2 linked regions of the Arabidopsis thaliana genome follow. The protein of the gene in region 1 interacts with the protein of each later gene in a biochemical or structural test. Each region holds a gene or a part of one and is shown in the gene's direction. Other genes may lie near its edges.

Region 1 (6,352 bases):
ATTGTATCATGATAAAACAATATAAGTAAAAGACCAAAACGAAAACGCAAAGTGAATCCTCTTCTCTTTTTACTCCTATAAAATTTGAAAGTAAATTGATTTTAAAAATTAAACATTGACTAATCACTTACACGTCCAGATCTGTTGTCTAGTATAAGACCACCATAAATTAACCAACGTTATTATTTTTATATTAGAAATCAAAATCAAACATTTGCAAAATATCGGTTTAGTGTTCTCTCAGTCAAATAGTCACAAATGCATGTCACCTATAATATGGGTTGCGACTTCTAAGTCGAAAACTGTGTTTCCCCCATTGAAAAATAACGACAAAAAATATTGAATCATTTGGACCCAATGTCTCTTTTTGCATGTGCAAGATTTAACCGATTTTTGTTGCTTTTTCATCATATTTAACCGATTCTTAGACCGAGTGGTGGGTTTTTTTGTTTGCAAACATTCTTGTATTTCATTTATTTTATCTCCAAAGGATCAAAGTTTACAAGATCTTCAACCAAGAGGTTGGTACAATAACTTCAAGAAAGTGAAAACTTACAACATGAAAAGAGAAAGATAAGCCATAGAGAATTAGAGACAGAGGCTAACTAGCAGCATGCCACAAACAAACTCATAAACCGAGTGGTGGTTATAGTTCAGATTAATAGAAATTTAGATAATGTGCTACTTCCACAGAAAGAATGGCAAGCGAAGAGAATTAAAATCAGTTCGATTTTTTTAATTTGTTACGTCTTCTTTTCTTAAATATTCCAAATGTTAGTTAAACCATCTAAAAAGATCTGCAGGCAAAATTTGTCTCTAGTGAAATTTTAAATTTATTAAGGATATTTCTATGAAAAAGCATTATGAATTAAGGAAAAAATAGAACATGGTAGTTTTTAACAGAATGTAAGTAGTATTCTGATTTTATTTTTATTTTGTAAATTTTTTATAAAAAAAAGAAGAAGAGAAAAATATAGACAAACATCATACGTAATAATACTTTTCGATATAATCTTATTTAAGAAAATTTCCCTAATTGAGAAAACATTATCACCGAAATTATAGACTATAACATCATGTACGTTTTGATTGTTACTAGTACTACTTCAATCAGTTTCCATTATAATTTATAGTGTGAAACAGAATTTGTTTGTCTGCTTTAACTATCTAATTAGTATTTTTTTTGTTCTTTCCATGTCGTGACAGATTCTCTGATTGGATGTTTTTTTGGTGTGTCAATTCGCTGATTAGATGTTTACGCGTAATTAAGGATTAATCTTTCTAAATTAAAATCAACGAACGGTCTATATAAGTTTTCCAGGTAAAACACACAATGGCACAAAAAATATCAAACAAAACGTAAATCAAGACACTAAAAGTTAATAATAATCATTATATATAAATAAAAAACTAACCTGAATCAAAAACAAGAAACAACAAATGTGGAACTGGAAACCTATATTGGTCCACGTGTCATCATTACATATTAGCTGTCCAGGTAAAGAATCTGAGAATTGGTTTTCTTGTAGCTAACATCTTTGTTAAACCGCTCAACATTTTAGTTTTACCAAAAGAGAATTCAATTAAGCAGTGTTTTTCAAATTATTGTAAAGTATTTGATCTACTTAACGAATAGTGGAATATTTACTTGTATCTTTCTCCCTTTTGGCCCTTACAAAATTCTATTCTGACCATCTTTTCTTTTTTCCCCTTACTTGGTCCATTTCTAGATTCCTGTAACAAAAACACCTAAATTTTGCCATTAAATCACACATTTGTGTCATTGTGTGGATGCATATATATATATTAGCCTCAAATGCTAAGTAAATGGATATCCCACCACAGTCACAATCTCATCAAGTCCATTACCACATTCCGTCTTTCTTCTTCTTCCTCTCTCTATATTTCAAATCTTTACTTCCTATCAGAAGCAGAAACTCTGTAAAATCTCAATGTCTGCCACTTAATTATACATCTTACCAAACGTGAAACTCGATTCTTATTTCACCTTCTTAATCATTTTCTTGTGTAAGCCTTCTTTGTGGGTTTTTGCAGCATTAATGGTGCACTAAAGTTTGTGCAAAACAGTTAAAACCTTCCCCTGCAAAGCCAAAAACAAAAATTCGTTTTTTTCCCTTCTCCTTTTTTAGAAAACGATAAGAAATGGGTCAGGGCAAGTTGATGTTGTAAAAGTCAGAACCACAACGTGAGAGAGAGAGAGAGAGAAAGAAAGCAAAAAAAGTTCGTTAGCTTGTGAAACTTGTCACAAGTTTCATCACTATATTTATAACTAACCTTATGTTGAAGAGAAAGCACCTCAACACAAGACCAATGTCAATCTCTTGTACCAGAAACTTCTTCAAACGATTCTGCGTCGAAGAATACAATATGGATACATTCAAACATAGCAGTTTCCTCTCTGCTGATCTCTTACCATCTCTTGGAGCTAGAATAAACCAATCAACTAAGCTCCGTAAACACATCATCTCTCCTTTCGATCCACGTTTCAGGTGTTGTATATATCTTTCTTGCACATTTTCCTCGTTCTGTTCTGTTCTGTTTTTGTGTTTGTTGTCTTCTTGAGTTATGGCTTAATGTTGAATTCAGGGGATGGGAGATGTGGCTGGTCATTCTTGTGATTTACTCAGCTTGGATTTGTCCATTTGAGTTTGCCTTCATCACCTACAAGAAAGACGCACTTTTCATCATTGACAACATTGTCAATGGATTCTTTGCCATTGACATCATTCTCACCTTCTTCGTTGCTTATCTAGACAGCCACTCATATCTTCTAGTCGACAAACCTAAGAAAATAGCTATAAGGTGAACAACAAGTACATAATAAAGACAATGGTACGGTTTTTACGTATTTAAGGGAAGCATCATTTCTCATTTTTATTAATGAGTATGTTCTTAGGTACCTTTCTACTTGGTTCGCCTTTGATGTCTGCTCAACAGCTCCATTCCAGTCACTGAGTCTTCTGTTCAAATACAATGGAAGTGAAATAGGATTCAGAGTTCTTAGTATGCTCAGGCTCTGGCGTCTTAGACGAGTTAGCTCGCTGTTTGCAAGGTTCATTTTCAATACTAAACCATTTTCTTTCAAGTTTAGAAGACTTGCCATATGAAGAATCAACATAAAGCTTACTCTCTCATTTTTCCTCTGCTTCAGGCTTGAGAAAGATATCCGCTTCAACTATTTCTGGACACGATGCACAAAACTCATTTCGGTAAGTCTCAAAAACAGAGGAATTCTCATTTCTTTTCATCTATAAATGCTACTAGCTTACAAGTTACAACGTATACTTTTATATATCAGGTGACACTGTTTGCAGTACATTGTGCTGGATGCTTCGCCTACCTCATTGCAGATCAATATCATGATCCAACAAAAACATGGATTGGAGCTGTCTACCCAAATTTCAAGGAGACAAGCGTATGGAGTAGATATGTTACTGCTCTTTACTGGTCTATTACGACATTAACAACAACAGGTTATGGAGACTTACATGCTGAGAACCCAAGAGAAATGTTGTTCTTTGTGTTTTTCATGCTCTTCAACCTCGGTTTCACATCTTACCTCATAGGAAATATGACCAACCTTGTGGTTCACTGGACTAGCCGCACCAGAAACTTTGTAAGTTCAATAACTTTTCTTTCGACTTCACATCAATCTCTTATAACTATAACCTGCAAAAAAAAATATATATATATATATATTCATAGGTTAATAAGAAACCTGATTCTTTGAATTAAACAGAGAGATACTGTAAGAGCTGCTTCAGAGTTTGCATCAAGAAACCAACTCCCACCAAACATACAAGACCAAATGTTATCACACATTTGCTTAAAGTTTAAAACAGAGGGTCTGAAACAACAAGAAGCTTTAAATGGTTTGCCGAAAGCAATCCGGTCAAGCATTGCAAACTATCTCTTCTTCCCAATCGTTCAGAACGTCTACCTATTTCACGGAGTTTCTCGCAACTTCCTATTTCAGTTGGTAAAACACTCATTTGTTAACTCTTTCTTTGTCCATCTCTTTCTGTTATAATGTTCCATAAAGTTACCAACCAACTCGATATGCTTTTTCTGACCAAGGTTTCAGATATAGACGCCGAATATTTCCCACCAAGAGAAGATGTAATACTACAGAACGAAGCTCCTACTGACCTCTACATCCTAGTCTCAGGGGCAGTGGTGAGTGAATGAAATTTAAAATAAATAATTGTATAGGAATGTTGAAGTTACCTTCTAACATGTTTTACTCGCTCATGTGGTGATTGTGCAGGATTTTACTGTCTACGTTGGCGAAGAAGATCAGGTATGTGAACAATATATATCACCAAAAGAACTTCACTGTAGAACTCTTAGCTGAAAAAAGAGAAATGACTGTAATCCTCACATTCATGTAGGTTCAAGGCAAGGCGGTTGTTGGCGATGCATTTGGAGAGATTGGTGTGTTATGCTATACACCACAACCTTTCACAGTTAGGACAACAGAACTATCTCAGATACTACGGATAAGCAAAAAATCTCTAATGAGTGCTATGCGAGCTCATGTCGAAGATGGACGAGTCATAATGAACAACCTCTTCATGGTAAGTAAGAATGATATAACATCCTGGGAACTAATTTTATTTCAGAGATGTTTTCACAATGATGTTAATCAATACGAACTCATTTCATGATGATATATGTAGAAACTTAGAGGGCAACAATCAATAGCAATTGATGATCCAAATTCAGAACCAGAGTCACTTCTCAAGGAGTGGCTTGTTGGTGGTTCAAAGACAGGAGAAGGAAACGCTAGTGATCAAGGACATGGGCACAAATATTTACAACTGCATGATTCAGAAAATATTGATATGGGGTCAACTGAATGGAGAGATTCAAGAAGATCTGGTTATGGCGAAACGAAAAGAGTTCGAGAACATACGATAGAGATAGAAGAAGGAGAAAAACCAAATAAAGAGTTTGATGGAAAAGGTTGCTCTGATGCAGATCTTACCTCATTTGAATTTCATTCACAGGAAGCATATCCATATTGCAGATCAAACATCCAAATCAAACAACATGAAGCTGCAAAACCAAAAGATAAAAGAGTTACCATCCACTTGAAGTCCCGGGACAAAGATTTGTCGAAGCTGATAATCCTTCCTGCTTCCATAGAAGAGTTGCTAAGACTTGCAGGTAAGCTCTTTTACTTGTTAATTCTCTAAGAAACTACTGAACATAAGAAGGAAGTAAAGTAAACTAGAAAATTATGGTGCAGGTGAAAAATTTGGATACAGCTTCACAAAGGTCACGAATGCGGAAAACGCAGAAATAGATGATGAAGATGTGATTAGAGATGGTGATCATTTGTATATTCTCATCAATGAAAACTCTTAACAAGACTTTAGTAACCACTGTTTTCTTTCCATAGAGTGTATATGTATATCTGCAGGCAATGTAATGTTTTTTACTAGAAAAACATTTGATCATCAAAGAAGATCCTAGAGAACTTATAACTGGACAATGTTAATCCATCAGAATTCTGAATTTAACAGAGCATTTCCCGCGTAAACGTTTACATTCGAGTTTATATATATTGGGCCTTATTGGGCTTAGATGAGTTTAATTACTAATAAATGAGATTAGGCCTAGTTAATTATAAAATAAACATTTTTTCCCCTTAAAAAATTGTATCAAAGATTTTCTCATGCGAGGATTTGATTTTGAAGTCTGTCGTGAATTTTTCATTTCAATCGAATTTGATCGGAGATATGGGTGCTCAGAAGAAACCCGCGGCGGCTAAGGTTCGTGAGGATTCAGAGGATCTAAGTCGTCAACGATTACAAGCCATTCTTCTAGCCGACAGCTTCACCACTCAATTCCGTTCCATAACCCTAGAACGACCAAAGGTACTATTGCCGATAGTGAACATCCCGATGATTGATTACACTTTAGCATGGCTCGAATCAGCTGGGATCGAAGAGGTTTTTGTGTTCTGTTGTGCTCATTCGTCGCAGATCATCGATTACCTGAAGAAATCGGAATGGTACACACGCCCAAACCCAAACTTGTTGGTGAGAACGATAGTGTCTCACAATTCCACCAGTGTTGGAGATGCTCTGCGTTATATCTATGAACAACAGACAGAGACGTCGCAGATTCAAGGTGATTTTGTTCTTGTTAGTGGTGATACTGTTAGTAATATGCCACTTGCTGATTTGATTCAACAACATAGAGATAGGAAGAAGAAAGATGAGAAAGCTATCATGACTATGGTTTTTAAGAAGCAGTCTAGACTAGGAATAGGATCTGATCAACTCTTTGTTGCAGTAGATCCTTTAACGAAACAGCTTCTTCA
Region 2 (6,092 bases), on another chromosome or scaffold:
ATGGAATCTTCACCACGAAATGAAAAAAGTTCAAGTGATCTTTTGGACGTCATGCAAAAATGGAAGATGATGACGGTTACAAATTGATCTGTCTAGACATCTTATCTTCTTTATTCATGGCAAGTCTTTGGTACTACTATACGTGTGATGTGAACGCATTTCAGATAAGTTAAGTAGATATATATCTTGTTGTATGTGTGAATGCATCTCCACATCTTGAGATTTGGTTGGTTAACATTGGGTTAAATGTGAACGCGTCTTTGGAATAGTATATAATAATAATTTAGACGCGCGTTTGTTAACTTTCAAACATTTTTGTGAACCACGCTCCACCAAATAAGACATGTGGTGGACGTTGCAACTAGATTTACGCATCTTGATGGGTTTCCAAAAATGGTAAGTAGAAATTGGTTTTCTCTCAAAAGCACCATTATTTAGGGTTTGGGAATGAAAAAAGTTTGTATCTTTATCGTTATGATTTTACTCATGCTAAACCAAAGGTTTCTTCATCGCGTTTTGGACTTCGTCTTATCTACCGCCCTATGTGTTACATGATACGACATATATGATACCCAGAAAAAAATTCATGTGTGCGGGACAAAAAGCCTCAGATGACTTTTGATTTTGAAAAACTATGATCATTTTTAAAAAAGTTGTAGAAATTAAATCATTTTGAACTATTCGATGCAACCAACCTATCTAAAAATGAAGTAAATTCCGCAATTTTAGATAGATGGACATCCTCAGATCACATCCATTTAAACTACCATAATACACGTAGATGGCTCTAGACCTCTAGTAGAAGATATGATACTACTATCTTTGATATGTCGACATTGGAAGATACATTTTACACCGTAGAGCTTTGTGGATATTTCGAAAGTAATTAGTGTATAATTCAAATCAATTAAATTTAGATATATAAATGTACCATTCTAATGCAAATCCTTTATAACAAAAAAAAAAAGGACTTTCCCAAAGGCCAAACAAATGATTGTTGACATTGACCACACGATCGTTTAGAAACATCACAAATTTTCAATCTCCTCCTAGTCTCCTAGGCTCATACCACTTACGTTCGCATGTTACATACCTTTTTTGAAATGGCCAGCTCATTTTTGATCAAATGAATACTGGATTTACAATGGGAAAAAATTCTGCATCTATGTTCTTAGATTTACAAAATAAACTAGAAATGTTCGTTTTAGTATTTTCTTTCTATGAAATAACTTGTTGTTTTATGAATTATGAGTCTAAAAATGGCATATTAGAACCAAAAAAGATTAGCACATGACATTTCAAAATCTTAAATGGTAACATTTTCAAGATTTTTATTCTATCATTAGTTGTTTCTATCATGACATTTCAAAATCTTAAATGGCATATTAGAACCAAAAAATTATTTGTTTTATTTTGTACGTACAATTACCATATTTTTATTCATTGTCATAGTTGTTCAGGTGGATCTTAGATATTTCAAAGTATAAAATTTGTGATCGTATTTTAGATGATTACACACATATCACATATGTAATGCACATAATATTTCCAAATTAAAGGTAAAATATTATTTTTACCGGAGTATGTATATATTCAATCCAGATTATTTTTAAAAAATTAGATTTTTTTTGAATGATCAGTCTTATCAAGAATTCAAAAGATAGTGTTGTTGTCAATCAAAATTACTAAAAGAAAATTGTTTAGTCAACATATATACGTACCTTAATAAATATTTTTCTTAGAATCTAAAGGAATTTACAGATGTTAAAATAAAATCCAATAAAGTGTAAATTTACCAAACAAGTAAAGACCATTTTTCAAAAAGAAAAAGAAACCAAGGAGACCAAATTATGATTGAGTTTTACAAAATACAGAAAATAAAGAAATTAAATAAATATCAAAAACTCAAAAGAGACCTCTCTTCTCTCTCTCTCTCTCTCTCTCGCTACTCTCATCTTCACCGTACGCTTCTTCGATCTACGCTTCTCTCTAGCTATAGCTTCCATTGTCACGATTCCTCCCAAAGCGTAGAATGTGGAACCCTAGATACCTCAAATTCAGCTAGAGATCTATCTACTTTCACCTCTATTACTTTCTACTTCTGAAACCCCTCATCAGAGCTACACACAGTGATGGGAAACTGTTGCAGATCTCCCGCAGCAGTTGCTAGAGAAGACGTGAAATCCAACTATTCCGGCCACGATCACGCCCGCAAAGACGCCGCCGGCGGTAAAAAATCGGCGCCGATTCGAGTTCTAAGCGATGTTCCCAAGGAAAACATCGAGGACCGTTACTTACTCGACAGAGAACTCGGCCGCGGCGAGTTTGGTGTCACTTACCTCTGTATCGAGAGGTCCTCGCGTGACCTACTCGCTTGCAAATCGATCTCCAAGAGGAAGCTTAGAACTGCTGTGGATATTGAAGATGTTAAAAGAGAAGTAGCGATTATGAAGCATTTGCCTAAGAGTTCGAGTATTGTTACTTTGAAAGAAGCTTGTGAGGATGATAATGCTGTGCATTTGGTTATGGAGCTTTGTGAAGGTGGCGAGCTTTTCGATCGGATTGTTGCGAGAGGTCATTATACGGAGCGTGCTGCTGCTGGTGTTACTAAGACTATTGTTGAGGTTGTGCAGCTTTGTCATAAGCATGGTGTGATTCATAGAGATTTGAAGCCCGAGAACTTTTTGTTTGCTAATAAGAAGGAGAACTCGCCTTTGAAAGCTATTGATTTTGGATTGTCGATTTTCTTCAAGCCAGGTCTGTTACTGCTTTTGATTTTAAAGTAGATTTCAATTCTCTAGCTTTTATTGTTGATTATTAGTGTTGTTGTAGTGGAATACTGGGTCATAGAGGGAGCTTCTAGTTTATTGTAGGATTTATGTTTCTTGATTGATACATACCTTTGATGTATTTTGACCAGTTTATTTGGTGTTGATGCTGTTTTTGTAATGCTTACATATGACCAGGTGAGAAATTCTCTGAGATTGTTGGGAGTCCATATTACATGGCACCTGAGGTGCTTAAGCGGAATTATGGACCCGAAATAGATATTTGGAGTGCTGGAGTGATTCTTTATATTCTCTTGTGTGGAGTTCCTCCGTTCTGGGCAGGTCTGTTAACCCCTTCCTCTCTTCTCTAGTCTTTCGATTTCCTCTGCCGGAGCATTTGCTAGTTTTTCGATTCCTCTGCCGGATTCTTATAATACCTTAGCATGCTAGTCTTTTGTAAATTGTAGTTTCAGCCAGTTTTTTCTTTGAACCACAGAGTCAGAACAGGGAGTTGCTCAGGCTATTCTGCGTGGAGTAATTGATTTTAAGAGGGAACCGTGGCCAAACATTTCTGAGACCGCTAAGAATCTAGTCAGACAAATGTTAGAGCCTGATCCAAAGCGTCGGCTGACTGCAAAGCAAGTGCTTGGTACATAGAAGCTACCTTTGCCTTATGCTCTTTCTCTCTGCATCTGTTATTATCTCTTTTCCCAATTACTTCACTGATCTGGAGATACTCCAAAAGATTTTTTTTATGCTTATTCCTGCTTTTGTTATTGTTTCTCATTTGCTAGAGCACCCATGGATTCAGAACGCAAAGAAAGCTCCCAATGTTCCTCTTGGAGATGTTGTGAAGTCGAGGTTGAAGCAATTTTCAGTGATGAACCGATTCAAGAGAAAAGCTTTAAGGGTTTGTTTATCTGATAAACTCTCATTCTTAATTACTTGCATGAGTCACTTCTTAAACGGAAGATATCTTTACTAATCTTATTCAAACCAGGTTATTGCCGAATTTTTATCTACGGAAGAAGTAGAAGACATCAAAGTAATGTTCAACAAGATGGATACTGATAATGATGGTATAGTTTCCATTGAGGAGTTGAAAGCCGGACTTCGTGATTTTAGTACACAGCTAGCGGAATCAGAAGTTCAGATGCTTATTGAAGCGGTGCACATATCTTTCCCTTCTACATCACCGTACATTTATTACTGATTGCTTGACTGAAGAAGTAGAGTCAAACTTCTTTTTGCATGATCTTATCATTCACTTCCCGCTTAATTTTTCAGTGATCTTTTTTTGTTCACGTTCACTATCCAGGTTCACTAAAATATTGTCTTGATAATTCAAATTTGTATAAAACAGGTGGATACTAAAGGAAAAGGAACTCTAGACTATGGAGAATTTGTAGCAGTGTCTCTCCACCTGCAAAAGGTAGCAAACGATGAGCATCTCCGCAAAGCCTTCTCTTACTTTGACAAGGATGGAAATGGGTACATTTTGCCCCAGGAGCTTTGTGACGCCTTAAAGGAAGATGGAGGAGATGACTGTGTGGATGTCGCCAATGATATATTCCAAGAAGTTGACACAGACAAGGTAAGTGTCAAATCTTCTGTCTATGGTATGATCTCATCATGTTCAAAAGAAACTCAAAAGAGCTTTCTTTTGCAAGAGTGTTAGGAAACCAAAGTTGTGAGGAAGTCCTAAAAAGGCACAAAGGACAGGAGATGTGACTTTAAATCTTTTTTCTTTTTGCGCTATTTGTTTGATGATAACCAAACCATTTGAATTTACAGTTTTACACATAGGTAATGGAAACATGCTTTGCAAAAAGTTCTTAAAAGCCTGAGGACAAAACATGTAGCTTTAAACACTTTTTTTCAGTTTTATTCTTTTGGCATTTGTCTGTTGTGTAAGCGGTCCCCATAAACTAAAGGCAAAAATGATTTCTCTGTTGTAGTGGAAATACTATCTGTAGAGAGTTCACTTCTCATATCGTTAAACAGAACCTTAGAGACTATAGTTAGTGTAAAAATGTTTCTTCTGGTTGTGCCTGACATGGATTTTTGACATTAGGATGGGAGAATAAGCTACGAAGAGTTTGCGGCAATGATGAAAACAGGAACGGATTGGAGAAAGGCGTCTCGTCATTACTCAAGAGGGAGATTCAATAGCCTAAGCATCAAGCTAATGAAGGACGGGTCTTTGAACCTAGGCAACGAATAGCGAATCAAAGTGAAGAAGCCGCAATAGGGTCTTTAGTGTCTGTCTCTCACGCCACGTTCTCGTGCACGTCAAGTATTAAACCAAGAGAAGGTAAAACTTGGGATTCAGAATTCATATCTTTTTGTACATCTTTCGTTTTTTAACCTTTCTATTTTTGGTGATTATGTTATCTGTGTTCTTTTTTTTATTGGTTTATGGGTTGAGTTGTGTTTGTTTAGTTTGTTCTGGTAGAAATCCAAAAGACATGAGAATCAGTGTTTGATGTGTAGAAGGAAAAAAAACCAAAGACCATTTCTGGTAATGATGTTGTAATATTCTTTTGTCTTCCTTAACCTCTATAATGATATGATGAGTCATTCACACAACCCTATCCTCTATTTTGCGCAAAGTTCTAAGCGATGATGACTTTGTATCAATCGGTAATATAATGACGCTTGTTTCAAATCAAACACGAAAGCTACCTAGTACCTACTTTTTCCCATCTCAGCTCTGAGTATCAACATCAGTGATTACACTAGCAATCCCTGCATTATTGACCTGCAAACCAAATCAAATAATCACTCAACGTTATACAAGAATCTTAACCAACTCTTATGAGCCTTTCTTTATTGGAGATCAATCACTTATCTGATAGGAACAAATTAACCACAAAAGGGACTTGCTTTCTTGTCAAAAGGTTACCAGTAACATCCTAGCTAGTGCCAATCGTTTTCAACAAGATTTGAGATTTTAGATGCTAAATCCAAAACCTATTTCATACTAAGTAAACTGATAGAGGATTGTACTAATCATACCAAGATATCCAAGTTTTCCAATTTTAGTATTCACAAATCTGTATGTAAAGAGTTGTGACACATGGAGCCGATGAATTATGAAATATAATATTCTGATTATAAAGGCCTTTGTCTACAACTTCAAGTCCCTTTTTATCAGCTCTAGAGGTCAAAACTACGCTAATCATTTTGCTACCTAATTGTCTGCCAATATTTAGCCCAATCCCTCTGTGTGCAGCAGAAACTATATCACTAGGTTATTGCCTTATTGGATTGGATATTTGCATTGCATTTTAGAATCCAATTACAATGTTGTGTTATTCAATC

What was found.
Region 2: of the proteins of KAT2 (region 1) and CPK13, one has a biochemical effect on the other in vitro, tested with the Arabidopsis thaliana proteins (one study listed by BioGRID).

What each region holds. Positions count from the first base shown.
Region 1 is NC_003075.7:10,113,087-10,119,438, forward strand, and holds KAT2 (potassium channel KAT1-like protein), read left to right. Parts: upstream 1-1,707; 5' UTR 1,708-2,298; coding exon 2,299-2,510; intron 2,511-2,607; coding exon 2,608-2,823; intron 2,824-2,917; coding exon 2,918-3,073; intron 3,074-3,172; coding exon 3,173-3,230; intron 3,231-3,319; coding exon 3,320-3,637; intron 3,638-3,760; coding exon 3,761-4,000; intron 4,001-4,098; coding exon 4,099-4,197; intron 4,198-4,288; coding exon 4,289-4,321; intron 4,322-4,412; coding exon 4,413-4,598; intron 4,599-4,700; coding exon 4,701-5,190; intron 5,191-5,272; coding exon 5,273-5,391; 3' UTR 5,392-5,566; downstream 5,567-6,352. Other genes in the region: AT4G18300 (Trimeric LpxA-like enzyme), read left to right, coding at 5,766-6,352. UniProt on the Arabidopsis thaliana protein: Highly selective inward-rectifying potassium channel. This voltage-dependent channel could mediate long-term potassium influx into guard cells leading to stomatal opening.
Region 2 is NC_003074.8:19,230,535-19,236,626, forward strand, and holds CPK13 (calcium-dependent protein kinase 13), read left to right. Parts: upstream 1-1,823; 5' UTR 1,824-2,132; coding exon 2,133-2,757; intron 2,758-2,966; coding exon 2,967-3,110; intron 3,111-3,264; coding exon 3,265-3,417; intron 3,418-3,562; coding exon 3,563-3,678; intron 3,679-3,768; coding exon 3,769-3,936; coding exon of another isoform or gene 3,937-3,981; exon of another isoform or gene 3,982-3,997; intron 3,998-4,131; coding exon 4,132-4,362; coding exon of another isoform or gene 4,363-4,446; exon of another isoform or gene 4,447-4,574; intron 4,575-4,842; coding exon 4,843-4,992; 3' UTR 4,993-5,357; downstream 5,358-6,092. UniProt on the Arabidopsis thaliana protein: May play a role in signal transduction pathways that involve calcium as a second messenger.